2 linked regions of the Bombyx mori genome follow. The protein of the gene in region 1 interacts with the protein of each later gene in a pairwise test. Links are inferred from orthologs where the notes say so. Each region holds a gene or a part of one and is shown in the gene's direction. Other genes may lie near its edges.

What was found.
Region 2: the proteins of phosphatidylinositol-binding clathrin assembly protein LAP (region 1) and MAGUK p55 subfamily member 7 interact in a two-hybrid assay, tested with the Caenorhabditis elegans proteins (2 studies listed by BioGRID). The link is inferred for Bombyx mori from reciprocal best matches to the Caenorhabditis elegans genes unc-11 and magu-1.

Annotation. Positions count from the first base shown.
Region 1 is NC_085113.1:1,609,435-1,625,405, forward strand, and holds part of phosphatidylinositol-binding clathrin assembly protein LAP, read left to right. Parts: intron 1-137; coding exon of another isoform or gene 138-158; intron 159-857; coding exon 858-926; intron 927-3,127; coding exon 3,128-3,230; intron 3,231-3,992; coding exon 3,993-4,160; intron 4,161-4,509; coding exon 4,510-4,648; intron 4,649-5,178; coding exon 5,179-5,324; intron 5,325-5,751; coding exon 5,752-5,929; intron 5,930-5,999; coding exon 6,000-6,056; intron 6,057-7,570; coding exon 7,571-7,757; intron 7,758-8,433; coding exon 8,434-8,604; intron 8,605-8,979; coding exon 8,980-9,231; intron 9,232-9,879; coding exon 9,880-9,985; intron 9,986-10,373; coding exon 10,374-10,473; intron 10,474-12,267; coding exon 12,268-12,339; intron 12,340-14,598; coding exon 14,599-14,712; 3' UTR 14,713-15,971.
Region 2 is NC_085107.1:10,941,773-10,957,743, forward strand, and holds part of MAGUK p55 subfamily member 7, read left to right. Parts: intron 1-1,366; coding exon 1,367-1,534; intron 1,535-2,964; coding exon 2,965-3,161; intron 3,162-3,300; coding exon 3,301-3,416; intron 3,417-4,603; coding exon 4,604-4,921; intron 4,922-5,611; coding exon 5,612-5,782; intron 5,783-6,839; coding exon 6,840-7,012; intron 7,013-8,413; coding exon 8,414-8,590; 3' UTR 8,591-15,971.

The DNA of each region.
Region 1 (15,971 bases):
CTTTTTTTTCATTTACACATAGATTTAAAAACATGTACAGCACGTTTTCATGATCAAATGTAATTTTAAGTCTTGCAATATGAAAAATCTTTTTTTTTAACTGAATGTTTTTCGATTTTTCTCTTGGCTGTCTGAAGGAGCGGCCGGTGCGAGGATCGGTGAGTTTAAAAATACAAAAAAAAATGGCCGCTTTTGTGTATGTCTGAATGTTCACGTGTAGTCGAACACACGCTATGGTGCTTTATGGGTGCATTGTTATTGCACTTAAGTTGTGTAAGAACACGCTTTTTCTAAATGTTATTTTGCTTATGTGACGTTGCCATGAAGAACTAGCATGCAGTCTCTATGGAGGGCATAAATGCGTTCCCTGATGTGTTTCCGGAGTTTATTATTTGAAAATTCTTACTTTAAATAAGTTTTAAAGGACATTTTAATTGATGTTTTGAAATAAATTAATTTTGTACAAATGTAGTTAACAGATATTCCTTTATGTCAATGATCGAAAACGCTGGAAATACATAATAAAAAATAAAATCCTGTTTAAACATTATGGTCATGACCCTCAGCAGTGAGGAAGCGAGGAAGGAGACGTTCCTCATGTTCTCAAACGTTCCGTATTATTAAAGTATGAAGTTTATTGTTCCTCTGCGACTTTTTTCATTTCGCACATTTCGCAAATTGTCCTTTGAATCTTATTCTTTTAGCTCATAACTTTTCCACGTCGTCGTAATGTGCTATAGTATGAGATAAGATAAATCGACATTCATATTTACCGTGTTAAAGTTACGTAAAATAAGAAAAAAAACAAACAAAAATACTTTTTTTTTGTTTTCTTCAATTTTATGTTTGTTTTGTAGGAATGTATGTGCTAGCCATATCTGTTATCGGACATGGTGTAACAAGAAAAAACGATACCGATGATTTTGGTTCGATACAGTTTATTGTCTGTATTAAATTCACGTAGATTCGAGAATACACAGACGGGTTTTTGTATCTGTTATTTTTATAAAGTTTATATTATTTCACGCGTATTGCGTTTTTTGTTTGACTGAATTCAATAGTGGTCAAATTGATTTAGTAATTATTTATAAGATTAAAAAAGTGTATTATAATTTATAGTCTTAGTTATTCATAGCGCAAGGTTACTTTTTTTGTCCTTAAAATGTATGGTAAATGGATTTTATGCTGTTTTTACAAACCAAGAGAGGCATCCCTATTGTTGTTTATACATGTATAGAAAAATCGTGTATAGATTAGCTTTTTATGGTCTTATTATTGTTTTGGGGGTGCGCTTACGTAGAAATAACATTAAAACGAATAGGTATTATTAGGCAGCGGCTTGGCACTGCCCCTGGCATTGCTGACGTCCATGAGCGACGGTAACCACTCACCATCAGGTGGGCCGTATGCCTATACGGCAATAAAAAAATAAAAAAAAATGACATACAGGTGTGTAATAAGACATTATTGACGAAACGCCATTAAAATTACCTTGTTTTGTGTAGATCAATATTGACGTCTCAAAATTGCACCCTGAATCTAATTTAAGGCTTTTGAGATTTTGGACTTTATGATGAAGTCATTAAAGTGCATTAAGCGCTCGTCAATTTGTTGGCCTAAGAAATTGTAATTGAAGCATTGTCGATTTTACACTGTCGTCAATGAGCAGTGGTGTTGGATCGTTGTCCAATTATTTGACTTTAAACCTTAGTCGTTTGATTAATGTTAGCGGCTGCCATAGCGAACTTGATAATGCGAAAAATAGAGTAGACCCGATTTTTAAGACAAGAAAAAAATTCTATCGTTTCAAAAAAACTACTTAAGTTTTATATATTTGTTCCACTATTGATATCAGTCTTTAGCACTGTACTTTGGAAATACCATACACAGAGAGATATGCATAGAAGAATTACGAAATTCAGTAATGAATGATCAAATTAGAATAAACAAATTAGATATAAAGTATGTTGACCTCATTTTTTTGTTTGTTAATAGATCAAAATCACTGACTGTGTAATTAGTATATTTCAGTAGTTTCACACGCACTGCACAGAGCCTATGTACACAACTGCTTCTAGTACTTATTTGTTTTTTTAGAAGTTTTCGCTTTAACTAGAATATTAAAATTTTAAATGTGACAGTCGAATTCGAGTCGATAATGTATGGTCCCTAAAACAAACATAATAAGGTTTATTACACTACATTAAAAACTGTGGTACATTCGCATTTTAATAACGACAGTACTTAAGGCTTCGTCAAACAGAACGCGTAATTAGCGCGCGTCAGAGCGCTACGCCATGACGCCGAGATGTGTTGTACTACTACTGTAACATACCGTCAAACAGAGCGCCAGCGCTATAGCGCTCGTAGCGCTGGCGCTCTGTTTGACGGTATGTTACCATAGTGGTACAACAAATCTCGGCGTCATAGCGCGGCGTTAGTTTAGCGCTCTGACGCACGCTAAGTACGCGTTCTGTTTGACGAAGGCTTTATGTCGGATAGAAAATATAATCTATACTTTTATTGTAAATATGAAAATGAGTTTAGTTATGTTTTAACATCTTAATTACTCAATCGATCATCATGAAATTTCACGTACATGCTGTAAAGAAGCGAATATAGTTTCTTTCGTCCAGAAAAATAACTATAAAATAATTATATTTTTTCCAATATCACTACCTAATGAAGCCACGTTAAATATCTAGTAAATTATAATTTAAAAGAAACTGACTGGCTGAATATAAAAATGCTAGACACTTTTATTGTCTTTCGATCGTATTGAGTTCCAGTCCCAACGCAATACCAATATCCCATGTAACCAGAAACTTCGATGACATACCTGAAGATGACGTCATCAATCTAGTGTCAATCACTCGCAACTTTTTATCAACCACAAAACGCGTATCACCCTCATCAAATAGTTCAATTTTTTTCCCTTTAATAAACTTATCGTTATTACAATGCGAGTATCGTGTACCCGGGGCGGGTTTTTTTTTCCAAACCCAACAATACGGAAAAACCACGCTGTTATTCGCTTTAGAAGCTCCCAAAATAGAATGATTCGTAAACGAGAGACTATATTTAAAAAATGTTTGTTTATTATTCCTTTTTATGATTACATGTCCAGGATATGACATGTCTCCGTTCATCCGGCGCTACGCTAAATACCTCAATGAGAAGGCGCTTTCATACAGGACTGTCGCCTTTGACTTCTGCAAGGTCAAAAGGGGGTAAGTGGGATTGAAGTTGTTAATTTTAATTAACATGGCATTCGATGGACTTGGGCGGAGGGAATTAGTTTTGGATAATATTGAAGGCAGATCATTAATCTGAGATTTATGCGTTGTCCATGGACATCAACGATCTCCGAAAAAAAAGTTGGCGACAGCGTTGTCCATGGACATCAACGATCTCCGAAAAAAAAGTTGGCGACAGCTGAATATTATAAACTTTGTTCGATCTAAGTGATAAAGTAAGAGTTGATTTTTAGTCGAAAAAACTTAATACAGAAAAGTTCTCATATGAAAAAAAGGCTTTGTAATTAATGGCTTTGACTGATGACGGTCTATTTTTTTCTATGAACAAATATTTTAAGTTTATATAAAACAGACGAGAGATTATACAGGGGTACATACGTAGTCATAATTGGTTTGCTCCTATTTACTCGAGAAATTTCCGGGTACTTTGCTTAATTTCGATATACTCTCTTTTTTTTCATTTTTTTTATTGCTTAGGTTGGTGGACGAGCTCACGGCCCACCTGATGTTACGTGGCTACCGGAGCCCATAGACATCTACAACGTGAATGCTGCCACCCACCTTGAGATATGAGTTCTAAGGTTTCCGTATAGTTACAACGGTTGCCCCGCCCTTCAAACCGAAACGCATTACTGCTTCACGGCAGAAATAGGCGGGGTGGTGGTGGTGGTACCTACCCGCGCAAACTCACAAGAGGTCCCTACCACCAATAATAAACCTCTCTTCTTTTTTCAGCAAGGAGGAAGGCTCGCTCCGCATGATGAACGCGGAGAAACTCCTAAAGACCCTGCCGGTCCTCCAGGCTCAGTTGGACGCACTTCTAGAGTTCGACTGCACCGCCAACGATCTCACCAATGGAGTCATCAATATGTGCTTCATGCTGCTCTTCAGAGATCTCATTAGGTATGCTTTGAATTTAAATATGTTTGGGACTGAGAAAAGGTTAAGTTTCAGGATTCACTCCTAGTAGCTCGTTGATGCACTATTCAATTTTCTCACTGGCGAGAGTTATATGTGCTGATTAGATGAGTCGTTGTAACTATACTGAGACCTTAGACTTATATCTCAAGGTGTGTGGCGCGTTTGCGATGTAGATGTCTATGGGATCCAGTAATCACTTAACACCAGGTGGGCTGTGAGCTCGTCCACCCATAAAAAAAATCGTCTTTTTGTTTAACGGTCAAATAAATCCAACACTATTTTCGGTGAAGATTTTTTAATAGTATAGGTATATCTTTTTTTTCATTTTCAGGTTATTCGCGTGCTACAATGACGGCATCATAAACCTACTAGAGAAGTACTTCGACATGAACAAGAAGAATTGTCGCGAAGCTCTCGATCTCTATAAAAAGTTCCTGATCCGAATGGATAGAGTTGGGGAGTTCTTGAAGGCAAGATACAATTTTTTACTTGTTGAGAATCGATTTTAAATATGATTTGTTTCTGTAACCTGTTTTCTGTAGTTCACAGATACAAAACAGTTAATAAACCACCGTTATTACACATTTAAACCTCAAGAAACACTAAATTGACAAAATAAACTAAATCACATAACTTCACTCCTCGCGTTTCCGTAAAAAAGTTCTCATGAGCTTATTTTAGATAGAATATAGATAGATTAGATATCTATACTTCTATATCTATACTCTATACTAATATATAAATCTACTGTGGTTTTTACGGATGTTCCGTTATAACTATTGAACCGTGCATCCGATTGACTTGAAACTTGGTATCCATGTAGAAAATACATGTACTTAATGGATAGGCTAATATTTATATGACTGTTGGACTGCCTAATAATAATGACAATAAATAATGATGTTAATTTGAAATGCCCAGCGAAGCAGCCGAGTACTGCTAGTAGAATATATACATAGAATATCGTCAGTGTAATAAGTGAAACATGGTTATGGCACAGGTAGCGGAGAACGTGGGCATCGACAAGGGCGACATCCCTGACCTCACCAAGGCGCCCAGTAGCCTTCTGGACGCGCTGGAGGGCCACCTCGCCACGCTCGAGGGCAAGAAGGGCTCCGCCGCCAACACTCCCACTCAAACAGCCAGGTCTGCACTAACCACTCCCGACACAATTCACTACTATTTAACACAAAATAAGCATGCACGAACCGGCGATATCAGTTCTGCTGTGCACACAAGAAATTTTACTGCAATGTGTGACGTCACTTGTGGCCAAATTTTTCGATATTATAGAACAGTTACCCGAGTAAATTAACACACAGACACAGCCCACTGAGTTTCTCGGAGGATCCGTAATGACGTGTTTTGGGCGACGTCGATTGTTTACCATTCGGTATACAGAATCGGGTATGCAGTTTCCAGCGGCCACGACAAGAGGATTCTCATGTCGTTTGATGATAGAATCATAATAGTGTACAAACTTATAATTTCAATTAATTGTAGTGGAATTTCGACTACTAAGGGACTACTAGTAAGACTAAAGTCTATAAGATCGTTGATTGTAAATCCGCAGTGCCCAGAAGAACGTGGCCAGCGTCATGGGAGCCCTGTCGTCCACGTCGTCCTCGTTCGGCAACGCGGCCGCCTCCACGCGCCTCGACTACCCGCCCGCCGCCGCCGCGCTGCTCATCGACGACTCGCTGCGACAGCAGGCCCTCGCCGAGGAGGAGGCCGCCATGAACCAGTACAAGGTCAGCCCCCGCCCTCCCCAACGCCCCGCCCCACCCCCCGCCGCAACCAACTAACGTCACTGCGTTCCAGGTGCACTTGTTGCAAGGAGACGAGCTGACCGGAAACGAAGACTTGACGGAAATAATCGTAAGACCACAATAGAGAATGGGTTTGTGGGCTCGGTTGTGGAGATGTGTAATGTAAGCAGAGCATACGTTTAAGTCATATCTGACAGTCTTAAATAAATAAATAAACACATTTTAATAACAATTGTCGTACTAGGTAGTAAAGATGATTGATACTTATATTTTATCCGTATGGCCACGATATTGGACTAAAATAATTCTATTATCAATGATCCTTGATGCGTGGATAAAAATTAAAATTATATGGTCTTGAAGTCCGTGAAACTTACCTTGAGTGATTCTGATACATAAATTATTACAAATCTAGGTAATGTAAATAAAAAGCTGGTAAAAAAACTACCTTAATCAATAATAATTGAAAACCTTACATCAAACCACTGCTTTTGAAAAATGTTATTGATTGATTATATTTAAAATCACGATAGCGTATAATCTATGGCTAGCGCATCATACGTTTTGACCCCAAATGACGTCACATGCAAATGAAGTCGCGTGAGCTTTGAGCCATTTTAAAAATAGTTTAAATAAAAAATAAATGGCATTTAGTTCCGTGTTGTGATCATTTGTAACATTTATCGGGTGTGTTAATTCATATAAGAAGTTATTGGGAAAATATATCTACAAATGATTTCAAATAAAAAGAAGTTCAACAATTTTTTCTATCTTTTACTATTATTACCTTACCTAATAAGTGTATGGCTCCAATAAAGAATAAAAAATATATATTATTACCTACATTCTAGGTGATTAAACATAAATTTTGTGTTTCTGCTTATATTACATACTCAATTGTTCGTACTCCATGTCGCTTAGGGAATATTTATGTATGAATATGTGGGAAGCGGCTTTGTATGCTGTGTGTACACTAAACTTGTTCAATGTCCTATAAATTATATTTATCATATTGAGGGATTGTTATAAAGATTGGGCGTATTTCAATTGTGGTGTAATATAATTTATGTTTTGATATCATCAAATAAGAAGGGTATTGACAACTAACATATTTTTGTGTATGCGAGGAAACATGATAACATTATTGAAGTTTAATTGGGGTCAGTAAAACAGATTTAGTATTGCAGTATCTAAAGCAGTCCGTGGCTGCAAAAGCTGTGTAGTGTATGTTTTGAACGTCAGAACTTTAATGAACATTATTTCAAAGCTTTAAGTAACAGTTTTTTTTGTCAACTGTACTTTATATCGCCAAGCTTCGCTTCGCATCGCATTCCCTTCTTGTTTGAAACGAGTGTCGTGCACGTCTCACCACCCTCCGAACAACCACACATAACATAACGCGATCGCAAATCATCCAACATTCAACAGTGTTGCGAGTTTTTAAACGTTCTCGATAACGTAAAAGTTAACTCGAATTTGTATGCAATTGGAACAGCGCCCTTAGCGGCAAACTTTGCAACCCCATACAAATTGTGGTTAACGTTTACGCTATCGAGAACGTTAAAAAACTCGCATTAAGCGCGCAGGTATAGAAACTACAGGTTAGTTTACTGTTGATTGCAGAACAAGGTACAGTCGCCGACGAACGCGGCCAACAACCCGTTCCTAGGCGCGGGGGCTCCGCCCGGCGGCCAGCACGCCATCGTGGACCTGTTCGGGCCCGCGCCCCCCGCCGGCGCCGCCGCCCCGCCAGCCAAGGCCTCCGACGACCTGCTCTCCCTCGGCAACCCCTTCGCCGACATGTTCGGGGGTGAGTCTCTACATTAGTCGTTACACGTGATGACGGTTAGTTGGTGATGGTCACGTATGTATGTATATTTTGTTTATAGTTAAAAGGTATATTAGAAATAAAACAAATTCATTTAGTTGGATAAAAAAAAAGTTTTGCAATAAAAGTCTATACGGTGGAAAATCTTTCAATGTCACGTTTGGATAATACAATGGCTGAAAAAAAAATTTTTACTTATTACTTCAAATAAATGTAGTTTTAAATGAAATTAGTGGGAACATTTTTAAAAATACATTTTATTGGAATAACATTGAAATTTTTTTAATAAACATATCAACTTTTAAATACACTTCTAAATTGTTAACAAATTGGTAACATTAAGTATAATTTGCAAACTAATAACAACTATATGATCTAATAATGTGTACATAATAATAATAGCACACTGTACAGAACTACACACATTGGACCAGTTGTGGCCTCGGGACGATGTCTGTTTCACGTTTTAAATACCAATGCAGTACAAAAAGTGTAATCTGAATAATTATATTAATTATACCACATAACACTATGGAATACCAGGTGTAAAATTTAGATTTATTAACAATTTACTACGTTCGGGAAATTAACACAATAATGTAGCTTTCAATATGTATAAAATTAGTACTGCATTGCTATTGTATGGCAACACTTTTAGCCCCGTCAGCTCCGGCGCAGGGCTCCGCCCCGATGTGGGCGGCGGCGCCGCAGCCCGCGCCCCCCACCAACGGGTTCGCGGCCTTCGCCCCCGCGCCTGCGACACAACAAAACAACACGTTCGTTTCAGAGGCTAACTTCTCTAACGTATTCAATAACACTGACAGCACAGGTGAGCTGCACTCCACGTAGTCTTGAAGCGGGTCGCCGTGAGGTTTACCTCGCCTGCCCACCTACTATCTACCTAAATGAGGGGGACATTTTAATAAAAAATAGTAATTAATGTAAATATGATTTTTTGGAAAAATCATTAAATCTCACGGCGACTCCTACAGTAATTAATAATAAACTCTGATATTAATAAACTTAATCAGCTCATTTCTTTGGTGACGGGTATTCGTGTATAAATGTACAATTGTTGTATAAAAGACGTTAAAAAGCACTCACATGTGGTCAAAAAGCTGAGCGGAGCTCGCACGCACGAGGGGTAGTCGCGTTATGACGCACGTGTCGTCCGGCGTAACGTTTGTTTGATGTGTTCCGCAAGCCGCGGCGCCCAACCCGTTCATGGGCATGGGGGAGTCGTCCCCCTCGCGGCCCCCGCTGCCCCCCCAGCCCGCGCAGCCGCCCAAGTCCGCCTTCGACGAGCTAGAGGACGTGCTCCGCATGTCGCTGGGCTCGCCGGCCAAGTGCCAGCCCGTCACGCAGCAGCCGACGGCGCAGCACCAGTCCGCCGACGTCATGTCGATGCCGATGATGTTCGGCTCGCCGGCCCGCCAGCCGATGGCGCCGATGAGCGGTTCGAAACGTTTACAGATTGTCGGATGTTTTCGGTTTTTTTTTTCGTTTTCGTTTCAGTGTTGCCCGTCATGCTTGCACCTCTACGTATAGTAGCAGTAATGCTAATGCACCGTTGCCGTTTTTTAGTTGTGTATAATTATCATTTTAAGTTAATTTAGCGTATTTTTTTATTTTTACATAATGAATCACATAAAACTCATTATTTCTATATTTTTTTTTGTTGATTTAACCGCGGTCATCAAATGCTCATTCCCATCGTATTGACATTGACCGCATGCTAGAGAATAAATCATGAATCATAGAAGCTCTAATGCCGAATATTAATTTTTGAATAAGCTTAAACGACAAAAGCATCTTTGTTAGCTTATTGCCTCAATCAATTTAGTTTTGCGAACCATAAATAGAATTGAGCTACTTTCACTTTGAGAACCACTGATCTAGAATCATATCTAATTTATTACATGTAGAATTGGATTTGTTAAGAAGAAAAGAAAATTGTTTTGAGATCAACTATAAATCAACTAAAAACCTTATCAAACAGCTACATTTCAAACAGCACAAGCTGCCGTAAGAACACGAACAAACAAACACTGAGCACTGGATGCTATTGATGACCATAGATATTCTAAAGCAACAAACGATACAGGTCACCAGGCGCCGCAGCCCGGCAAGGTGCTCACGGGAGACCTGGACTCGTCCCTCGCGTCGCTCGCTAATAACCTCTCCATCAACAAGACAGCTGCGGCCCAGAAGTAAGTCGCATCCAGCTCACGCGCTGAGCCCTTCTCAGCAGGAGAATTGTTGCGTTGTGGTGAATGAGAGTGGACTGTATTTATTTGGTTGATATCATTATTAGTCCATAGGTGACAAATTAAATATATATGAATATACTAGCTGTACCCGTCCGCTTCGCTGGGCATTTGAAAATTAACATTATTATTTCTCACCACCACAAAGATTCTCATTATTAACGCCCCCGCAACTGGTGTAGGGAGTCCAACACTCATATAAATATTAGCCTATCCATTAAGTACATGTATTTTTTACATGAATACCAAGTTTCAAGTCAATCGGATGCACTGAGCGGATGCACGCTAGTAGATATCTCAAATATCCAACCCAAATTTGTGTTTCCACCAGACCGATGCAGTGGAACTCCCCGAAGAACGCGTCGAAGCCGGGACAGACCTGGAGCCCGCAGCCCATGCAGGCCACGACCGGCGCCGGCTACAGGCCGATGGTAAGCCGCCCCCCACAGCGTCCCCCTCGCGTCCCCCCGTATAGCTTTGCCTCTGTGCGTCCATTAGGTTACTTGCTTGGTAAAGGCGGCTCGAAGTCCGGGCGGGAACTAATTCATCAGCCAAGGGAATGCGAGAACTGCCGCATGTCTGCTGCGACCTTGTTGTTCAGTTGTCCAAAGGTGTTTACGCACTCGTTTTGTAAATGAATATCATTTAGCAAATGGGACCTAAAGTCGATCGTACATGGAAGCTGGGAACGCCCCCTTGTATTCAGCCGGTTCACACTACGCGAATAACGTGTCGATTGTCTACCCACAGCCTTAATGTCCCCACTGCAAGCTAAGCTAAGTAAATTTAATGTAAATTTTGGCACATGGACTTGGTCATTTATAAGACTACTTGTGTTTGTGTCCCGGAATGATTCGAATACATGGTGACGTGTCAAAACCTTACAACACTCGTCGAATCAAACATTTGTAACACGTCCGTGTAAATAATATAATATCTTTGTGCGCGTCACACAAATGCTACTAAAGATAAATAATAGTTTAAAAATACTAACAAAATACGCTTTTATTGAAAATTCAACTAAAAAATAAATTTTACTAAATTTGAATTAAAAATAGTGAAAGAAGAAATGATTTTATTGTAAAAAAGCGTGAGGTGCTTTTCAAGATATTATCAAAATAACCCTTCTACTCATATTTGTTCATAAAATATTTACAACTACTGATACCATGCACCCCACGTTTCTTTTACAATGTAATCTTTTTTTACACTATTTTTAATGCAAATTTATTAAAATTTATTTTCAATTTTTTAGATGCGTTTCAATTTTTATATTTTTTCAATTATTTTTTTAAAATATTTGTTTGAATTATCATCCTTCCTTAATAAGTATGGCAAATTTCGAGTTAATCCGACGTTTGGAAGGGGGTCAAAATCATGTTGAAAGATTCCGTTACATACTACATACATACGTCTGAAGTTAATAAAAGCGTATTAATAAAACGGTGCGCGTGCAACTTGGTGCACGTGAATGAAGTGAAACTTCTTTTTCAAATAAAAAATTTTGTAACATTGTTTCACTTCGAATAACAAACGATCGACCGGTCCCATCTTGCCAAATGATTTTCATTTCCAAACAATAATATTATCGTCTTTATCACAATTTTACTTTAGCTTAATTTTGTTCATCCATACGCCATTCACGTTTCCTTTGGCCTATGCGCTTTAGTTGTTGCATTTACAGTTAGTTGTGCTGGTCGTTTGCGTCACGTTAAATTGTACCCTAGTATAGTGTAGAGCTAAGATTGCATTGTTATTCTTATTTTTTTATTCTAACGGTCACGTGACTAATGCTACACGAATAATAATGAAAAACACAAGTACCCTCTTTTCGAAGTAAATTCTGTTTCTCAATTTTAATTTAAAGCATAATTTGATAATAAATTAGTAAGCATATGCACGTAATTCTCGTTGTAAATAGCTGAAAGGTAAACATGCTTTAGCCCCGCAAAGGGGGACATTGAAAATTTGAGAGCATGTAGGAACACGGGTCATTTTATATAAAGAATAATTTGATAATAAATTAGTATAAGCATATGTACGTAATTCTCTTTGTAAATAGTTGAAAGGTAAACATGCTTTAGCCCCGCAAAGGGGGACATTGAAAGTTTGAGAGCATCTAGGAACAGGGGTCAACAACCCGGGCCGTGACGTTAGCTAATTAGTGACGTGACCGAAGGCTCCCGTAGCATGCCGAGCATTTTGTTTTATTTGCGTTATTGCAGGGCCCCGGCATGACCTTACCGACCATGCCCCACACTTTGCCCCACACATACCACCCCCCGCATTATGTTATGGTGAGTCGCTAAACATTTTTTTTTTGTTTTGTTTCTCTTGCATTTGTTTTTTCTTGCAGCATATTTGAGGCGGTCAGCGCAAAAGTGGCCCAAGCTTACCATAGTTATTATGAAGCAATGAGGTTTAAGTTTTCATTCATTTGAATTTGAGTAGGCAAAAAAACAATACGGGAAAAAATAATGTTTACAGAGCCATTTGTTGTCTATGGGTGAAATTATGGATAGGCCGGTTTTGCATCAAAATTTATTATATCTATACATAAAAATAAAATTGGAGTGTCTGTTTGTAATATTGAAATAACCACTTTTTACTACATGCATATGAATATATACGGTACATACACCAAAATAACATTTTTTACAATTTTTGTCTGTCTGTTTGTTTCGGCTAATCTCTGGAACGGCTGGACCGACTTTGACGGGACTTTCACTGATAGGCAGCTGATGATGTAAGGAGTAACCGTACCGTCACCGTCAATAACCGTGACTTCACCCGCGGTACGACAATAACCCCGGGTAACATCGCGGAACTCAGCTAGTTTTCAATAAATTGCAATATACATATTATAAGCATGATTATGAAAAATTGTGGGTTAGACCACTTTTACACTGACGGCCTCATTTAGTCAATCAGCATGTCCCGTTGGAATTCGAAAGTGTGGTTAATGTGCTGCGGAACTTTTTTTTTTTTTCATTTTCTATTTAGCTGTATTAGCATGTTCTATTGAAAATTAAAAAAGAAAAAAACATGGTTATTTCGTTAGTTTGAAATCTGTCTGCTACCAAAGGTGTGATCTTGAGCACGAGAATTTTCTTTATTTTCGTCAAATTTACATAATTAATTAAACATTTGTAATTTGTTATTAAAAACACTAGACTGTCTGAATTGTTTGTTAGTAAATTTGTCAAAGTAAGAAGCTTCTAAACTATTAATAATAATTCATTAGAAATTATTATATATTTCGAGGGGTGAAAGGCAATTGGGTTAAAGCGCCATTTCGCTTAATACGCAACATTTATCTTTGTAATTAAAGGTCCGTTTTATTTGATATTAGCATCAACAATTCGTTTCATGTTTTTAACTAAACTTCAATTAAGCTTCTTTTTCTCCACCTTATCCCACCAGGTGGAGTCGGCACAGCGAATTTTTCTATTCCATTCTCTTCTATCAACCGTCATCTCAACACTCACTCCTCTCTCTCTCTCATATCGTCATTCACACACTCCATCCATGTCTTCTTCGGTCGACCTCTTCCCCCTCTACCTTGCAGGGGACTCTTTTTTCGACCTCTAACTTCAATTAAGCTTACCCCTTTCAAATAGCTAAAGAAGTTTCATGTTAGGATATTTTTTGAAAATTTTTAAACTTTAAATGGATCTCCTGTAAAGTTGCAAAAATGTCGTTTAAACCTTATAGCCTTTTTACCCCTCGATTTTATTATTGGACAAGTTGAATTATTATTTTTCGTATGGAACATCATTTTAACAAGAACGAATTCATATAAAATTTGTGTAGGTAACTATTGTGATATAATCAATTTATTAACGATAATCTACTACACTACAAGTCTGAGTAAAATAAATTAATTAATGTATTCTAAAAATTAATCGAAACCTGGGAATAGTTAATTTATGTAAAAACAAAAATCGATATATTTATCAAGAAACACTAGATCATACTCTGGTTTCTAAAATGGGTAGTATATATGGAAGCTTCGTGGTAGCGGCTTGCAAACAATGACAATGTCAATGGCATGAGCTTAGGTAACAGTTAGACGCCAAGTTTAAATATTTTCGCTTGCACTGGTTTAGTTTTCACAGCTTGTAGTTGCAATATTATACGCTAATACCATACACGTTGCCTTTGTTTCTTGAATATTTCTACTGAACGATTTTGTTGTTATGACGTTGGTTTTGATATTCGACTTTGTGCAGTCGTAATAAGGGACAGATTCTGTTGTTTACACCGATCGATGAATAAAGTTCTGGCTTCAGTATTTGGTTGACTTAACAACTCGCAACAGCCTGGAATTGACTATGTAGCTGTAAAACAAATTATTTTCATCTGATTAATCAGGTACATAATTCTAATAAAGGTAGGTAATTTAATTGATTGGGAATCAAAATCGCTCATTCATCATAGAAGTGATGAGTTTTTTTTTACTTTTAATAATGTCTCATAATAAAACAAAATCAATTAGGACTGTTTCACCGTATTCGTATAATTTTATATTATGTGTGTTTAATGGGCATTTCCAGCAACAACCCGGCATGGCGATGGGCATGCCCGGAGCCCCCATGATGCCCATGGCGATGGCCGCTCCCATGCGACCCGCCGTACCCCCACAGCCCACCACCAACCAGTTCAGTTAAACCGGAAACACCACCGAAAGGTTTTTATGTATCATCACCACCGACTGTTCCTGGTCCAACATAAACCACATCCAATCTTAGCAGTCTGACTTCATATAAACTTGGAACCTGTCAGAGATTGAACGAAAGGAATAGATAAATTATTTCTTAATCATCTTTTTGTTGAGTAACGGAACAGTCGGAACGTAGTAGTATTTGGAGCCATTTGTCTATGAGATTTAGTTAGGTACGTTTGTGCTAAGTACCCCGTGTTGCGCTTAAACCTGAATAGGAGATAATAATTGTTCGGTCTTTAAGGCCCCACTTTAATTATAAAGTGTCCCTAGACACTGGGCCCCGTTGTCTAATTTTAACATCGACCGTCTGAATTTAAAAAAAAATCCTTCCACTTGCTACCGTGGCGCCATCTTAATTGTCATTTTTTAATACACTGAGTTACATAATACTCCTTACTTTCATACGTTTGAAGAACGTTCTCGTAGGTATTTCAGGTCGTTTCCGTTTGACACGTCTTTTTTATAAGGGATTTTATGACCTGGTAACTAAGATCTTTAGGTCAAATACGAACTGTCAGTTGCAGCCACAGATTAATTATATCATTGATGTTGTAACTCTGTACTCTGTATAGAGTATGATGTTAAAATTAGACAATACGGTCCCTGTTTATTTTGTATAAAATAGTGTTTTTTTTTTTTAAAGTTACCACTTTAAATTTTAAGTGGTTTTCATTTTTTTCATCCGTTTTATTTTATTTTACATTAAAATAAAATTATTAGTATGATGATGATGATGATGATGATATGAATAGAATTATTTACGCTTTATTCTTGTGTATTTATTGGAAGTTAATATGAAATCATAATATTTGTAATTTTCGTTGATATTGTTATTCTCAATCATTAAATCTTATGTTGCTTTTTTTAATGATTTTATCTTATGAAATGTTATTTTAGTTTCCACGTCGCGATGATCACATTCCATTATTGTACAAATACATGAAGTCGTCGCGTAGGGATGTTTCATTTCAATAATGAGAGTTTAATCGAAATGTTAATATCTAGCAAACAGCCTATTCGTTTATTGATTTTAAGCTGTTCCAATAAAAAGTATTTTTTGTCGTTATTTGTATGTACGTCATGTTAAATTTGATTCCCAATGGCTTATAAAAAAAAAAACGATTCCGGCCTTGTCAGACAACTGCTCGTGATGCGAATATGGTCTAGGATCAACTGTGACCAATTCTTGTGTCTTGGGGAATA
Region 2 (15,971 bases), on another chromosome or scaffold:
TAGATGTGATGCGATCTGTATTGTGTTATTTGTATTTTTTTTTAACCTACATTTCCTTTGTTTTTTTTTTTCATTCATTTCACACAATACATGTTGCTTTTTGTTCATTTTAATAAATGCATTATAACTCTAGCGGAGAAGACGGTAGATCATCGGAGAAACGTGTATATTTTTTGGCCCCTTCTCAAGGGTTTATTGGAAGGAAAACAACGAAATTGAATTCTTGCAAATGCACACAGTAAAAAAAAACCAGTGAACTGACAATGTTTAATTATTATTACAGGTGAGAGTATCGTATATTGTAGATTGGTACTCTCATCAAACTGCGATTTCTCGCCGCGAGTTTGTACACGCCACAATTGTTTAAACTTATCTTCTGTTTTGACTAAAAAATTCGTATTTCACAAAACTGAATTAATTATATTGCTATTATATATACGAAACGTATATCATACGGTACTATCATCATAATTATAATTACTTGGTTTTATTTCATGCCTTAAGAAGAAATAGTATTAAATTCCTAACCTTACGTACTGTTTTCCTTCTACATTTAACCATTTACTATGACAGAGTAAAAACATATAAAAAACGTGCAAAATATAAGTTAAATTGGTTAATAAATACCCAATTCATGAATTATTGCGGAAATTAAAATTAAGGCATCTATTGGGGGGAAATAAATGCATCTCATATTTTCTTATAATAAGTCTTACATTATTTAGTTTATTCCGCCATCAACCATTAATCGTTGTTGTTGTCAACGCCAACCACTGCATAACATATAATCGTTAATCATAATTCTTTTAGGCGCTCTCTGTTAACATAATAAGTAAAAGGTAGTAAGTAGGTACTTTAGATTGACTAAATCTACGTAAAGAAATTGCATAGCTAATTAATAATTTTAAAGTGAATAATATGAATTAAAAATACCTGAAGCTTACAGTGACAAGGATATTTTCATTGCGTATTAAATTCAAATAAGTCCTAATTTAAGATTAAAATAAGAAAAGTTGCTTTCAGACTACGCGATACTATAGTGCCATATAGTATAGCAGCGTCAATAATATATGCTACAGTACAGTGTGAACGTGTCCATAACAATGTATGGTGCACGATATTATTGTGCTATGAGCTATATACTATATGCTATTATATTATAGCGTAGTCTGAAAGCAGCTTCAAACTTGCATTTAAGCATAATATATAATCAACGGGTATTATCTGTGAGCTACAACGTTATGTAGGTAAATATACAAAACTGTTTTCGATTTTTTTCATATACAGCTTCTAATTAAACGAAACTGGAGAACAAGGAAACGTATTGTTATTTTGAAAGAAATTGAATTTAACTATTACAATTCAGGGCGCAACAATCAAGACTGACGAAGAAACCGGGAAGATAGTTATCGCTCGAGTGATGCACGGAGGTGCCGCTGATAGATCGGGACTCATCCACGCCGGCGACGAGGTCATCGAAGTTAACGGAATCAGTGTGGAAAACAAAACTCCGGCCGATGTCTTGTCTATATTAGTAAGCATCGTATATATATATATATATTTTGTCCTACCCGTGCTGATAACCTTGAGAGGCTATTTCAGCTTCGCCCTAACGTGTGAGTGAGCTCACGGGGCTGAAACCGGGAGTTTTGCTAACACTGGCCCTCGCAAGAGCAGTGTTTCGCAGAATCTACCATCGGTTCGGAAACGCGACCCACTAAGAAAATTTACGGCGAGAAACTCAGTAGGCTACATTGTATAACTAGTGATGCGACAAACGCAAAAAACGGACCTACCGAAATCGATTCAAGATAAATTACGTTTTAAATTAGATGCTTCTAAACAAATAGTACATTCTTAATAATGAGAGGTGAAGGCTATTTGGTTTAAGCAATATTTCTCTTAACACGTGACTTTTATCTTTGTAATTAAAGGTCCGTTTCATTTGGTATTAGCATCGACAATTCGATATTTTTAATTGAACGCCAATTAAGTTTACCCCATTCAAATAGCTGAAGAAGATTTTGCCACAATAAACAGCGAGACGAACAATATATTATGATGACAATTAATTAACTCGCTCTGCTGTGACTGTCGCAGAATATATCAAGTACACTTGCAAGTGACTGACGCGCCATTTGTCGTACTGTTATCTATATATTAATTCGTGAAGGAAAAACTTTGTACCCCTTTTTACGAAAATTGCGCGGATGGAGGAGTATGAAATTTCCCATAGAGAAGGAGTGCAGAATGTTAATATTTTTTTAAATTATGCCAAAAAAATACATTAAATCAATAAATAAAACATTACACACACTACCATGTATTTGACGCACTATTTATTTATTGTCAAACTTTTGTTCTTGACGTCTGTGTTCAAATTGAGGATAGATTAAATATTGTTTGTCTTTATTAATATTTTTCTATAGTGTAGTCTTGGCGAAATTTGTGATTATAGAAGTAATAATACTTCTATAATCACAAATTTCGCCAAGACTTAGTATAAACTAAGTCTCTGAAAATACAATCATAATAGTGTACAAACTTACAATTTCAATAAATTATAGTCGAATTGAGACTACTGCGGGACCTCTAGTATATTCTTAATGTACCTAAAAATGCAATGTAGGTTGCACAACGTAATGCAGCTTAGTTAGGTTGCCGATAGATCACGCAGTTCAATTATAACCGCGCTCCCGGTGACACTTGCCCCAATTAATTTCAATTGTCAGTTTCAAATGTTTTAATTATTAGAATTAAATAAACTTCTTTTTTTAAAAAGTTTTTCTTATAAATCCTCGTAACAGTACGTTGAGGGCCATATACCAGAAACTATCCTTGAAGAGCCAACAATAAAATTACACAAAACAACACAGACGACAAACAAATATGAATTTTATATAAACGAGTATTATAAGAGATAAATAAAAGCAATAAATCGAATAATGTACATATGTGTTCCAGCAAAACTCCGAAGGCACGATCACGTTTAAATTAGTACCGTCATTCGGTAAAGGCGGTACGCGGGAAAGCAAAGTCAGAGTCCGAGCGTTATTTGATTACAATTCGTCCGAAGATCCTTATATACCCTGTAAGGAAGCGGGACTCGATTTTAAGAAGGGTGACATCCTCCACATCGTTTCACAGGACGACGCCTACTGGTAAGCTTATATCTGAACGGAAATCGCTGGCGGCGTTCTTTAATCGATTGCGAAATACATCTGTTTTCTCATAACGCGAAATATTTATTTATAAACGTATTGTTTTACATGACGAATTTTGGTGTGGCTTATTGTTTAGGTGGCAAGCGAGACGCGAAGGCGATAGAGTTATGAGGGCGGGGCTTATACCGTCCAGGGCTCTGCAAGAAGGTCGCATCATTCACGAGAGACAGACCGATCCCCAGACTATGGATGGTTTGTACTGTTTTTATCGTAATGTTTCTTCTCGTTCGACCTTCTGTTTTCGATGTTGTGCTATTATTTGCTATGTATTTCACGATTGCTATGATATTTAGTTGTAGTTCTAAACGATCTAGATGGTGTGACATTGGACATCGATAATAATATTGTTAATGCGAAATCGGTCTGTTTGTTTGTTACGCTTTCACGTCTTAACTACTCAACTGATCGTAAATAAACTATGCATACACGCTGTCGTGGGTATGGAAAAGGACACACGGTATTTTTCATCAAAGAAAAAATATGTGCCATTTCTGAGGAGTTTTGTTTTCTCCATTAACGCGCAGCTACCTGTAAAATATAGTTTCTCATTTTACTGACATAATTTTTTTAAATAAATACTACGTTTATTTTTTTAGGAAGTAATTAATTAGTGTTTTCATCTCCATCCTCTAGCTTAATTAACAGTACTCTAAGCAGTCGTGCGTTGCGATTTGATAGGTGGAACAGACGCTAAATAAATACAATCGAAAATTCGATCTCATTTCTCGACCTGGTTTTACGGTTTGCCTGGTTTTGGTGGCATTTACATTGTGTTGTCAATGAACTCGTTTAACACTTAACCAGATGGCCCCTCAAATCGTTTAGCGATGTAGAACAGAAAGACAAGACAGAAGGCTGTTAATGTATGCGTTTTTAAGGGATTTTATGGCCTGGTAACTAAGACCTTTAAGTCATGTCTTATTTTAATTTATATTATTACTTTTACGAAAATGCTAATATGAAGTGAAATGAAATGAACTGAAGATGGTTAATTTAAGACATTAATCAACTGGGATGAAATTAAATGAAATTAGATGAGATGATATGGGATAACATATAATCTCAGTAAAATGGTGGTCATTTACTGAGACTTTTTCAGTGGACTTTTCGGAGGATCCCGAGAAGTTATGTCCAGCGGCTTTGTTTTATTTTCCCACATTTGTGCACTTTCCCAGATACTAAACAGTTAATAAACCACCGTTATTACACATTTAAACCTGAAGAAACACTAAAGGGACAAAATAAAACAAATCACACAATTTCACTCCTCGCGTTCCCGCCAAAAAGTCCTCAATGTATGCATTTCTTTGAAATTTCATCCTACCCTCACTTTTTGCGGTCTACAAGAAAAGCTTGATCTGTTGTTGCGGTGTTTTTAGGTAAGCCCGCCCTTTGTAGTCCGTCTGCGTCCAGTTCTGACTGTGCCCCGAAAACGCCATGTTCACCGACGCCGACGGCCACAGCGCTCCTGCCCTGCAAGTCGATTCCGAAAGTCAAGAAGATCATATACGACATAACGGAGAACGACGATTTCGATAGAGAATTGATACCGACGTACGAGGAGGTCGCCCGGCTGTACCCGAGGCCGGGTCTGGTACGCCCGATCGTGTTGATCGGAGCGCCCGGCGTCGGCAGAAACGAACTGAGACGGAGGCTCGTCGCTACGGACCCGGAGAAGTACATCACTCCGATACCGTGTAAGTTTTTATTTTTTATTGCTTAAGATGGGTGGACGAGCTCACAGCCCACCTGTTGTTAAGTGGTTACTGGAGCCCATAGACAGCTACAGCGTAAATGCGCCACCCACCTTGAGACATAAGTTCTAAGGTCTCAGTATAGTTACAATGGCTCCCACCCTTCAAACCGAAACGCATTACTGCTTCACGACAGAAATAGGCGGGGTGGTGGTACGAACAATATTATTATCAAATTTACTTTAAAAAAAACATCTATACTGATATTATTATCATAAATGTCATAAATCATAAACTAAAAAAATCATATCCTTCGTGCATTTGTATGTTCGGTACTCGGCCACGCAAATGTCTGAAAAAAGTTAAATGAAATCTATACTTTAATCTATAAATCTACAATGGTTTTTACGGATGTTCCGTTATAACTATTGAACAGTGCATCCGATTGATTTGAAACTTGGTTTCCATGTAGAAAATACATGTACTTAATGAATAGGCTAATATTTATATGAGTGTTGGACTCCCTAATAATAATGACAATAAATAATAATGTTAATTTTAAATACCCAGCGAAGCGGGCGAGTACGGCTAGTTTATGGACCAGTATCCAGACTAAGGCGCGCTAATAAATTCATAAAAGAAATCTTTGTTCACGAGATTTGCTAATCTGTAAATAAATTTTAAACATTACAGATACGTCGCGTCCTATAAAATCAAGCGAACAGAATGGTAAAGATTACGTGTTCGTAACTCGGGAAAAAATGGAACAGGATATAACCGATGGGAAATTCATAGAGCATGGTGAATACAAGGGCAATCTTTATGGGACCGCTGCCGAAAGCGTCGAGACTATTATTAATACTGGTAAAAAAAAACTTGATAAATTAATAATATACTTGCTGTGAAATAAGCATTTTTTGTTTAAATTTATAAATATTAATTTGCATTTATGCATGTTCATGTTTAAGTATAGTTAACCAGCAATGCACAGCGAATGCTTCTAGCGGTCATTCACCTGCGTCGCACAAGCTTGTAGTTTCCGCTCGTTAGCTGATTATTTATATAAATATATCGTCTTACATTACGTACACTGCATGAATCATTAGTTTAATACAAAATTTATCATTGGATTTTTTAATGTGTTCGAGGATTTGTCAGCCAGCCAATTTTGACATCTGGTAACATGTAGCTGCTTTTTTAATCTAATCTTATTTCTCGTTTACTTTTTGGAATTTTTTTTTTATTGCTTATATGGGCGGACGATCTCACAGCCCACCTGGTGTTAAGTGGTTACTGGAGCCCATAGACATCTACAACGTCACCTCATGTGAGACTGCACGGGTGTGGTACCTACCCGTGCGGTCTCACATGAGGTCCTACCACCAGTAAGAAGATGATGATGACTTTTATTCACATACACATAAAAATAAAACACGTGCTACGTATTGAATGAAGGAAATCGATATAGATTTTTTTAATGCTTAGATGGGTGGAAATATTGATCTGGTAATGAAGACCTTTAAGTCATGTCTTATTTTAATTTATATTCTTATTTTTATGAAAAATTATATTATGAAATGGAATAAATGAAATCAGATGAGATGATATGGGATGAAATATAATCTCAGTAAAATGGTGGTCATTTACGGAGATTTTTTCAGTGGACTTTTTGGAGGATCCCGAGAAGCTACGTTCAGCGGCTTTGTTTCATTTTCCCACATTTGTGCACTTTCAGAGATATTAAACAGTTAAATAAACCACCGTTATTACACATTTAAACCTGAAGAAACACTAAATAGACAAAACAAAACAAATCACACAATTACACTCCTCGCGTTTCCGCCAAAAAGTCCAAATATAACTTCGATAAATTAATTAGGAAGTACCCTCGTGAACTTATTCTGGAAATTGTTCTCTTCAGGTCGTGTGTGTGTGTTGAGTCCGCATTGGCAGGCCCTAAAGATGCTTCGAACTCCGCGCCTGCGTCCCTACATCGTGTTCATTAAGCCTCCGTCCTTGGAGAGGATGGTCGAAACGCGGACTGCGGCAAACGCGCGTTCCACATTCGATAAGGAATCATCCAGAGCATTCACGGTATGTGACGCTAATAACAGACGCATGTATAGTCCTAATTCAAACATTTATATGTAATTGCAAACTAAAAATAAAGAAAAATATACCCTACAGCATATAGTATGTAAATTGATGGTTAGCAAAGATATTGTCGACGACTTAGTTTAAATCATAATAATAATACCTTTATTTTCCGAACATTTTACATTTTAAACTAACAATTTCAAGTAGACTAAAAAAAACGGAAAAAAGCAATATATTATATGAAAACAAAATATAAGATTAAAATCTACACTTCCACTATAAAATGTCTCGTGTCGGTGTGCCTCTGCCAAGGCTTCCTCCAACTCTTTCCACTGCTTTCTGTCTCTTGCTACTCTTATCCAAAGGGGTCCAGTGGTAATTTTTAGTTCATCCTCCCATCTTCTTGGTTTGCGACCTCGGCTTCTCACACCATCCTCATCCTTCTCACACCTCGGGTACCATACTGTCACCTGTACGCTCCATTTTTCCTTTTTGCAGCAGACCATACATATTAATATGATCTATCGATTAAATTTTTTAATTATACAATCATGCAAAAATATGCTTTATTTCTTTGCGTGTCCCCGTCTGCAATACCGTCGAGATATGAGTTCTAAGGTCTCAGTATAGTTACAACGGCTGCTCCACCCTTCAAACCGAAACGACTTACTGCTTCACGGCAAAAATAGGCAGGGTGGGTGGTACCTACCGGTGCGGACTCACAAGAGGTCCTACCACCAATAATTACGCGCATTATAATTTTGCGGGTTTGATTTTTATTACATTTTTTTTTATTGCTTAAGATGGATGGACGAGCTCACAGCCCACCTAGTTACTGGAGTCCATAGACATCTACAACGTAAATGCGCCACCCACCTTGAGATATAAGTTCTAAGATCTCAGTATAGTTACAACTGTTATATATAGTTATTATTCCTTCACCGTGGAAGTCAATCGTGAACATTTGTTAAGTACGTATTTCATTAGAAAAATTGGTACCCGCCTGTGATTCGAACACCGGTGCATCGCTCAATGCGAATTCACCGGACGTCTTATCTTTTAGACCACGATGACTTCAAATACATTAAATCAATTAAAAAAACATTACACACACTACCATCTATATGACACACACGCATGCATACTATTTGTTTATTGTCAAACTTTTCTTATTGCTGAGTCTGTGGTCAAATTGAAAATAGATTAAAATATATTGTTTGTCTTTATTAATATTTGAAAGTGTAAGTCTTGGCGAAATCTGTGATTATAGAAGTCTATAATGGTCTTTGACAACAGAATCATAATATTGTATCAACTTATGATTTCAATTAATTATAGTCGAATTTCGACTACCGGAGGACCACTAGTACTTATTAAATACTAAAACTTTATTTACAGGAAGAAGAGTTCACAGATATAATACGTTCGTCCAATCGTATTAATTTCTTATACGGATACATGTTCGATGAAGAGGTGGTGAATGAAGATCTGGCCAGTGCGGTGTCTCAACTACTCAAGGCCGCTTGGAGAGTTCAGTCTGAACCGCTGTGGGTACCTGCTTCATGGGTCCAGTAAAGAAAAATCACGCAATAATCAATTATATACAATGTTTTATCGCTGTTGTCTTATACAGTGGTTACACAATGACAATTATACATCAAATAATATGTCTAAAGATCGTGCTGTGAAAAGAAAATTTATTAATATACCTAACAAAAAAACAAACAAAAAAATTAACAATGGTAATTGTTTTAACGGATGCAATAATTATTTTTGTGATTGTGTGCAAGCTTTCTTCCTTGTGCTGGCAAACAAAGACTGTAAATTAAATCAAGTGCACCCATCGAACATAATAATAGTAATATTTTTATTAGATACCGGTAGCTCGTATGATCTGTAGAAAAATAATAAAAGTTACATTATAAATCACAAATAGGCAATAGAGAAAAGTAGTTTTCTTAGAGGATGGGGGCATTTTGAGATAAATGAATTAAAAGACTTCATGATATTGACAGTCGAAGGATTAAGAAGCACGTTTATTCATTCACACATTGAAACGCTTATTTTCTTATATAAGTAGATAATAATTTTTTTAAGTAATGTTTAGTACAATTTTTTTGCACACGATGCTAGTGTTCATAGCGATTAATTATTCAAATTTAGTTTCGTAGTTTTAGAATATACACGTTGTGTACCTTGATCTCAATTCCAAAGGGAAATAGAAGAAAAAAAAAACGAAAAAAATAAAAACGACATGCTTACAATAAAAAGCATTGCTTTAAGTTTAAGGCTAAAAATACCTAAGATAATTTAAAGAATGGCTTTTTTTTTATTGGAAATAATTTCAAGTATTTTTTTGAGAAACGGTGTTCAATTAAATTTAATCGTATGCACAAAAGTATACAAAAAATTTCGTTCGACTTTTAATATTAGTATAAATAATCGTCGAATAAAAATTGTATATTCCTTTAAAAACCTTAGAAATAATACGCCGTACAGTTTCTAAAATAATATATTTAATTATTATTATTATTCCTAAACGTTAAGTTTTGAAAGAAATTAATTAGTAAAAAAAAACAATAGTTGAAATACTAAAAATATAAAATGTTACTCCCAGTTCATGTACTTTTGATAATTATTAACTACATTTTCCAGAAACCTGGCACTATTTATTGATAAATTGCAATTTTTTTAAATAAATATCTTATCTTAAATCTTAATTAATATAGAAAATCGAAACAACAGAATCTTGTAAAATAAATGAATTGACTATTGTTTCATATCAAATCAAATCTCCATATTAATTTTTATTTTCCAAACAGTTAAACGTTCTATCATAGTTCATTTGAATGTTTTTTAATAGCATTCACATACTTAGGTGATACAATTTACTACTTATGATTCCAAATTACTAAAAAAAAAAAAACATTAGAGTTTATAACAATGTTACTAGATAAAATATATATTTGTAGTTTGTATCGAAATCCATAGTTTGTCTATTGATTTGTTGAGACTTTGAATCGTGATTCTATTGAAACGACATCTATACAAAAAAAATATTGTTAAATGACGCTTGTCATAAAATAATTAAATACCAAATCTATATGTACATTCGAATAAATATTCTTATTGTATTGACCAATTTTTATGGCTGATGTACAACAAAGCGGCGATGCGACGAGATAAAAAAAGAATTAAAAAAAAAGTTGACCACAAAATAGCACATATTTCTCGAATTTCACTTTAAAAAAAAATGTAATGGCCTCTTTTCTCATATCTAATAGAAGATTAACAGTACATATATCTCCGCTTTTATGGATATCAGCTTTTAGTAAAAAATTTACGTAGTTAATAATAAACATACTTATGATTCAAGTTTTAAAATCTCTAACTACTAAAGCCGTGTCTACAATGATAGAATAGATTTCTAATACGTTGGCTAATCGATTAGTACGCATTAAATTGAAAAATAGATAATTTAAAAAAGAAATAATGAAACGTTATATAAGAAAACAGGATTTTGTAATAATTTAGTTGAAATTATTGTCGCTTTGACTATATTTTTTATTATACGGCTGTTAAATACGACATAATTTACGCTAATGTTACAGATGGTTAATAATTTTTGTGCCTCGTAATCTAAGAAAAGTTACGTCTTTTATTGAAATCGCTTAGTTTAGATATTTCCAATAATTAATGAGTAATTTAGTATCGATATCGGAATTATAAACGTAACGTACATTGTAATTTTAATTTAAAATGTCTTAATAATCTTTACTAGCGTTATTCTCGTCGTTGATGCTTTGAATAGCGAATTCTTTAAAAATGTAAGCAATACGAATCAGTGAATGAAGTAATAATTTTTAAAGTATAAGACAATAATAAATACGGGCACTTTTAATTGGACAGATCTAATAGTACAAGTAACGATACGACTGTAAATGTTTATGTAATTAAATAGAAACATGTTACAAGGTAAATTACTCTGCGCATTGCCTCGTGAATGTTCACTGCGAACTTACAATATCTCTTGTGACGCGTCGCATAATCCTTAAGTATTTTAATAGATCTCGTAACCAGAATAATAACGTTGGATCTATATTTACAATAAATACTTTGATATTATAATTACGAGAAACCGTAAAATTCACGGATATTTATTAGTTGTTTAGTTGCGCTCTAGCTTGCAGTAGAGAGGGAGATATTGAAGGTAATAAAATCTTCTTACATTAAAATTGTCGAAATCAATAAATTGGGTTTTGGGTATTTGTAAGTATAACGTACTTTATATGGTTTCCCTTTGAGAACTTAGTGACACAAATGAAAATAGCAAGAAACGATTTTTACGTAGATAGAAAGTATTATAGAACATAATATAATTATGTATTCAAATTGAGGTTGTACTCGAAAAAGCTAAGCCATATATTTTGGAATGTAGTTGTTGAAATGACTACCTCAAATTAAACATCTAAATATGTGTTCCTTTAGATTATCGTTATTACTATAGTTAGCTGAATAGTAATGCGCTAGCTGCCCTAGTAAACTTGTTTTGTAACATGGCAAATGCATAGTTTAGTTTAAAAAGCTAGATTGCCACTTCTAGCTTATAAAACATGATTAGAATTCATAATGAAAAATGTTCAAAACACATCAATTAATATTTAATGTTTTTTTTTTGTCATTAATGATTGTTGTATACTTATTGTATATTAGAATTCGTTTTCTATTCTTAATTCTCGATTCTTATTCAAGTCTGATTGTAAACAATGAACGTTTTGTCTTTTTGTAAATATAATAGAAAAAAATACCTTAGATGTTTCAATATGAAATATAGCTGATTATATATTATTTGTTCATGCTTATGAAGCATAGTTGTAGTGAAGATAAATAATTATTTGCTGTTGATTAAATTAATTTTAGAAAATAATTAATCTCTTCAAGGCTCTCTAATTCTTTATTCTTTGAATACAACATTAAGCTGTACGTTCAAACTTTTAAATTTAGCTGTACTTTATAATTTATAAACTTCAACTTTGGTACTTTCTATTTCGAGAAGTTAAACTTCTTTGGGCGCGTCTGTAGCCTTACAGCATCAAGTAATTATCTTTCTCTGTATATCGACGAAGAAGTTTCGCTTCTATTGCGTGTACTATGTTGCACGTTTTGTTTTTGTTTCATATATCCAAACATATTATGGTTTACATAAAAATATAGAATTAAAAATCTTCAAATTATTGAGTAAATAAAAATTTATATTCTACGACCGTTCGATAAGTTTATAGGCCTAATACAACAAAATATTAATAGCAGTAAAACGTAAAGTGAAAGAGACAATGTTTAGGTACTTAATGTAGTTGTTATGAAATTCGTATTTTATGGAACACACCTGTACGTTATGATTGCTGTTATCATTTATCGTATCGTCACAGATGTTATCGCAGGGCTTTCGTTTCTGGGGCATTCAATGTTCTAAGCACACAGTTGGTGTAAATCAGCGGTCGGGGAACTTTTTTAATTATTACCCTTAAATATTTTTCTGTAAGTTGATATTACCCCATGGTGAAGAACAAAAAAAAACGAAATCGCTTGTTTTTAGTATATTTCATATTATAGCCCCCATGATAATTTTGAAAAGAAAATTTAACGATTCTAAAGAAGTTTAACTTCTATATATTTTTTTTACTCACAAAAGTTTCATTTTTACCCCCCAAAATTTCATTTTACCCCATTTGGGGTAATTTACCTCGGTTCCCCGACCGCTGGTGTAAATGGACTTCTACATGAAACGATTAAAAAAATAAAACCGACTAAACCTATATCAATGGAAGAGACAGGCAAAATGTTTTTAAATGGCCAGTTATTAAAATTATGTTATTTGAAAAATCGTTTAAATTACTAATTCAAAAACATTACTGCGCGTTGTTTTATTGCACAGTTAATATCGTTTTAAAACCACGAACGCCCCGAAACCAAAATAATTTCTACTCTAAACTATGTATGATAACGTTGCATACAGTGGAAAATATCTTATTATCATTGCCAAAGCGTTATATTTTCGTTTTGATTATTATAAATGTCATTTTCACAAATATAGAGAGAATGCTCTTAGATCTTTTTTCTATTTAATTGATGCCCAATCACGATCAAGCGCTGCGAAATCAATAAAAATACAATAAGGTATATGATTTTGTTTGTTGATTTGAACACTAAACTTCGTATATAAAAAGTTTTTAATCTATGAAATTAGCTATAAGAAATATAGTCAGTTAAAATAAAATGTTATAATAGAATATAGGTACAAAAACAGTTTGGAATTTTAGGACTAGTTTCTCCACGCCTCTATTACTTTGTAAAGTATGTTCTACGGGCGCTTGCCGAAGAATTTTTTGAGCTGTTTCTCCATCTTCTTTTTGCACGACAACTATCCGTAAGGGCAGAGAACTTTCTTACTACCTGTAACCACTGCGTTCAAGCATAGTGCGTTTTCAGAGATCATTTATACGATGTATCATCGGGATCTGGAAAGATCATCGATATTCATTTAATATCAATAAAATACAAGGTAAGGAGGTAGTAGGTAAACATAAGGTAAGGAACACAATCTTAGTGTATGAAAAGGTGCCCGTCGAAAAGTGAGCAATTAGGATGGCCCCACGGTAAAAAAAGAAAGAAAAAAAACGTGGCGCCACCGTAGCAAGTACCTGGTGTAATCTATAAAATAGCGCCAAAAGTTGTTTTATATTTTTTTTCAACTCTGCACTCATACATCACTTTGTTTACATATCTAATGCTACATTCTTATTTTAACATTGACTACGTTAGCAGTGTTTTATTAAGTTTGTTATTTGAATTTTGCTGTTTATAACTGAACTCTTTTTCAACTTAGTGACAGAAATTTTGAAAGTTTTTCGTAAAAACGTGATAGACTTTTACTGCACATAACAAAAGCGGTTCTCGCCATCAAGAACAGGTTTGTTCTACTCTTTCAGAAAATCCTTTTTGTGCGAATTCGTGGATTTTTATCTCGTTGCTTCGAACCCAATAGGTACATTTTAAAATGAAAATCACGGATGTCCGGGCCCTTATGTCGACATTAACATAATATAATATAAGTACATCTTTTTAAAATCGCATTCTATCGTCTCCAGCGTGAAAAATACTTTTCAACTTTAAAAAAATTGTCGGCTCTTTTGCCGTGGTTTTGGAATCGAACCTTATATCATAAGATACTCGCTTATTTTATTTTTTTATATCATAGGTAAATGTATTTCAATATAATATCATTTTGGTTCATTTAAATACCAACAAAAAAGCTACCTACTTTTATAAATAAAATAATATATAGAAACCTATCTATAATAAAAACCCTATTTTATTTCGTTTGAAATAACCAAATCCTCATATTTTGCACGTACTAAGTCCTAATCTTTTCTAAACTTAAAAGGGCGTAGTTGAACGACTCTTTTTTTTTTTGTATGAGTGATTTCTGGTTGGCCTGAAGCTTTTCCAGTTTCACCAGGATAGGTGAGTGAGCAAATGCTCGGCCAGGAGGGGTGGGATTTGCTAACAGCTGCCCAAGCGCCTCCGAAGGAGACCTAACAACTCAAGAGCAACTGCTTCGCGAATAAGTTTACTACCGGATCAGAATCGCGACCCGCTGAGAAGATCCAGCGAGAAACTCAGCGAGTTGATGCATGGGTTAGGTTGCACGTCTCATTCGTCACGGTTGCAACTCTAGGTCGAGTTCGACGAGTATGGTTACCGGGGTCCCTATGCCTACTCCTAGTGTTGGAGCTGAAGGCGTCTAATGCAAAGGTTATTGGTTCTGAGAGATCCGTAAGGACGTTTCTAGGGCGTCAACGGTGACTGGCTCCTGCATGATCAGGATTCGGGGAGTAGACAGCGGTGGCAACGATAAGGCGATTATCATGACGTATAGCCTTATCGAAGTACCGTTCCGACGCTGACTTCATGTGTTTCCGGATCAATTCGACGCTCAGATCGTCGTGTAGGTCAACGTTCCTCACGAACCACGGAGCTCCGACGGCTTATCTGCAAAAGCGGGACTGTAGGGATTGGAAAGTCTCTACATGCGTGAGGGATGCGTGAGGGTCGCGTGAGCGAACGCCACACTCGCGTAAGTCGTGACGGGTCTTATGCAAGTTTTGTAAAGTGTCACCTCGTTCCGAAGGGACATTTTAATCCGCTTACATGGGGTAGAGTCGCCAAGAATAAACACGACACGGTCGCGGATTGAGGAACAACTCCCGGAAACTGAAGACTCGGTAGTGATGATGTATTAAGGTAACACACAAAAATAATGTATGTAACAATCGAAAATCAACTGATGCATTCCAGTCTTAAGAAATCCACAGAAAAAATTTTCAACTTTTGTCACTCAAATTTGCTGATACTATAAATATATTTTATGACGTTATTATAACTACTCTTACAGCATATTAATTCCCGCTACTTAGTTTTGTCATTATGTTATTTCTGACGTCTTCGAATACTTCAGAGTTTTCGTTGTTACGGACGTCAGATGGGAATAACGTAATTTAATGACAATAAAAAAAAACTAGACTAAACCGTACAAATGCTTTTAGATACTATTTATGTTTGGCGAATAAATATTGCTTTCCAATCTGTTACCAACATAAACATAAACTACTCCTTCATGAATTTTTCTGTTGAAGTTTTGTATTTTACAGTATTTTAAACCTAACACTTTAAACGCTTGCAGCAATATGTTCCCAGAACTACCCGGTGAAATATTTATTTGTAGTCTAATTATTTTTCCTTTGCTATATTTTTATTTATATAATAATATCATACATAATAATCGCTATTTATTAAATAAAAAAGAAGAAGAAATGTTTCTAAATTTATCATGTATTATATTATTTTATTGTGTTAACGCTACCTCCAATTATTATCTATAGTATTACAATAATAA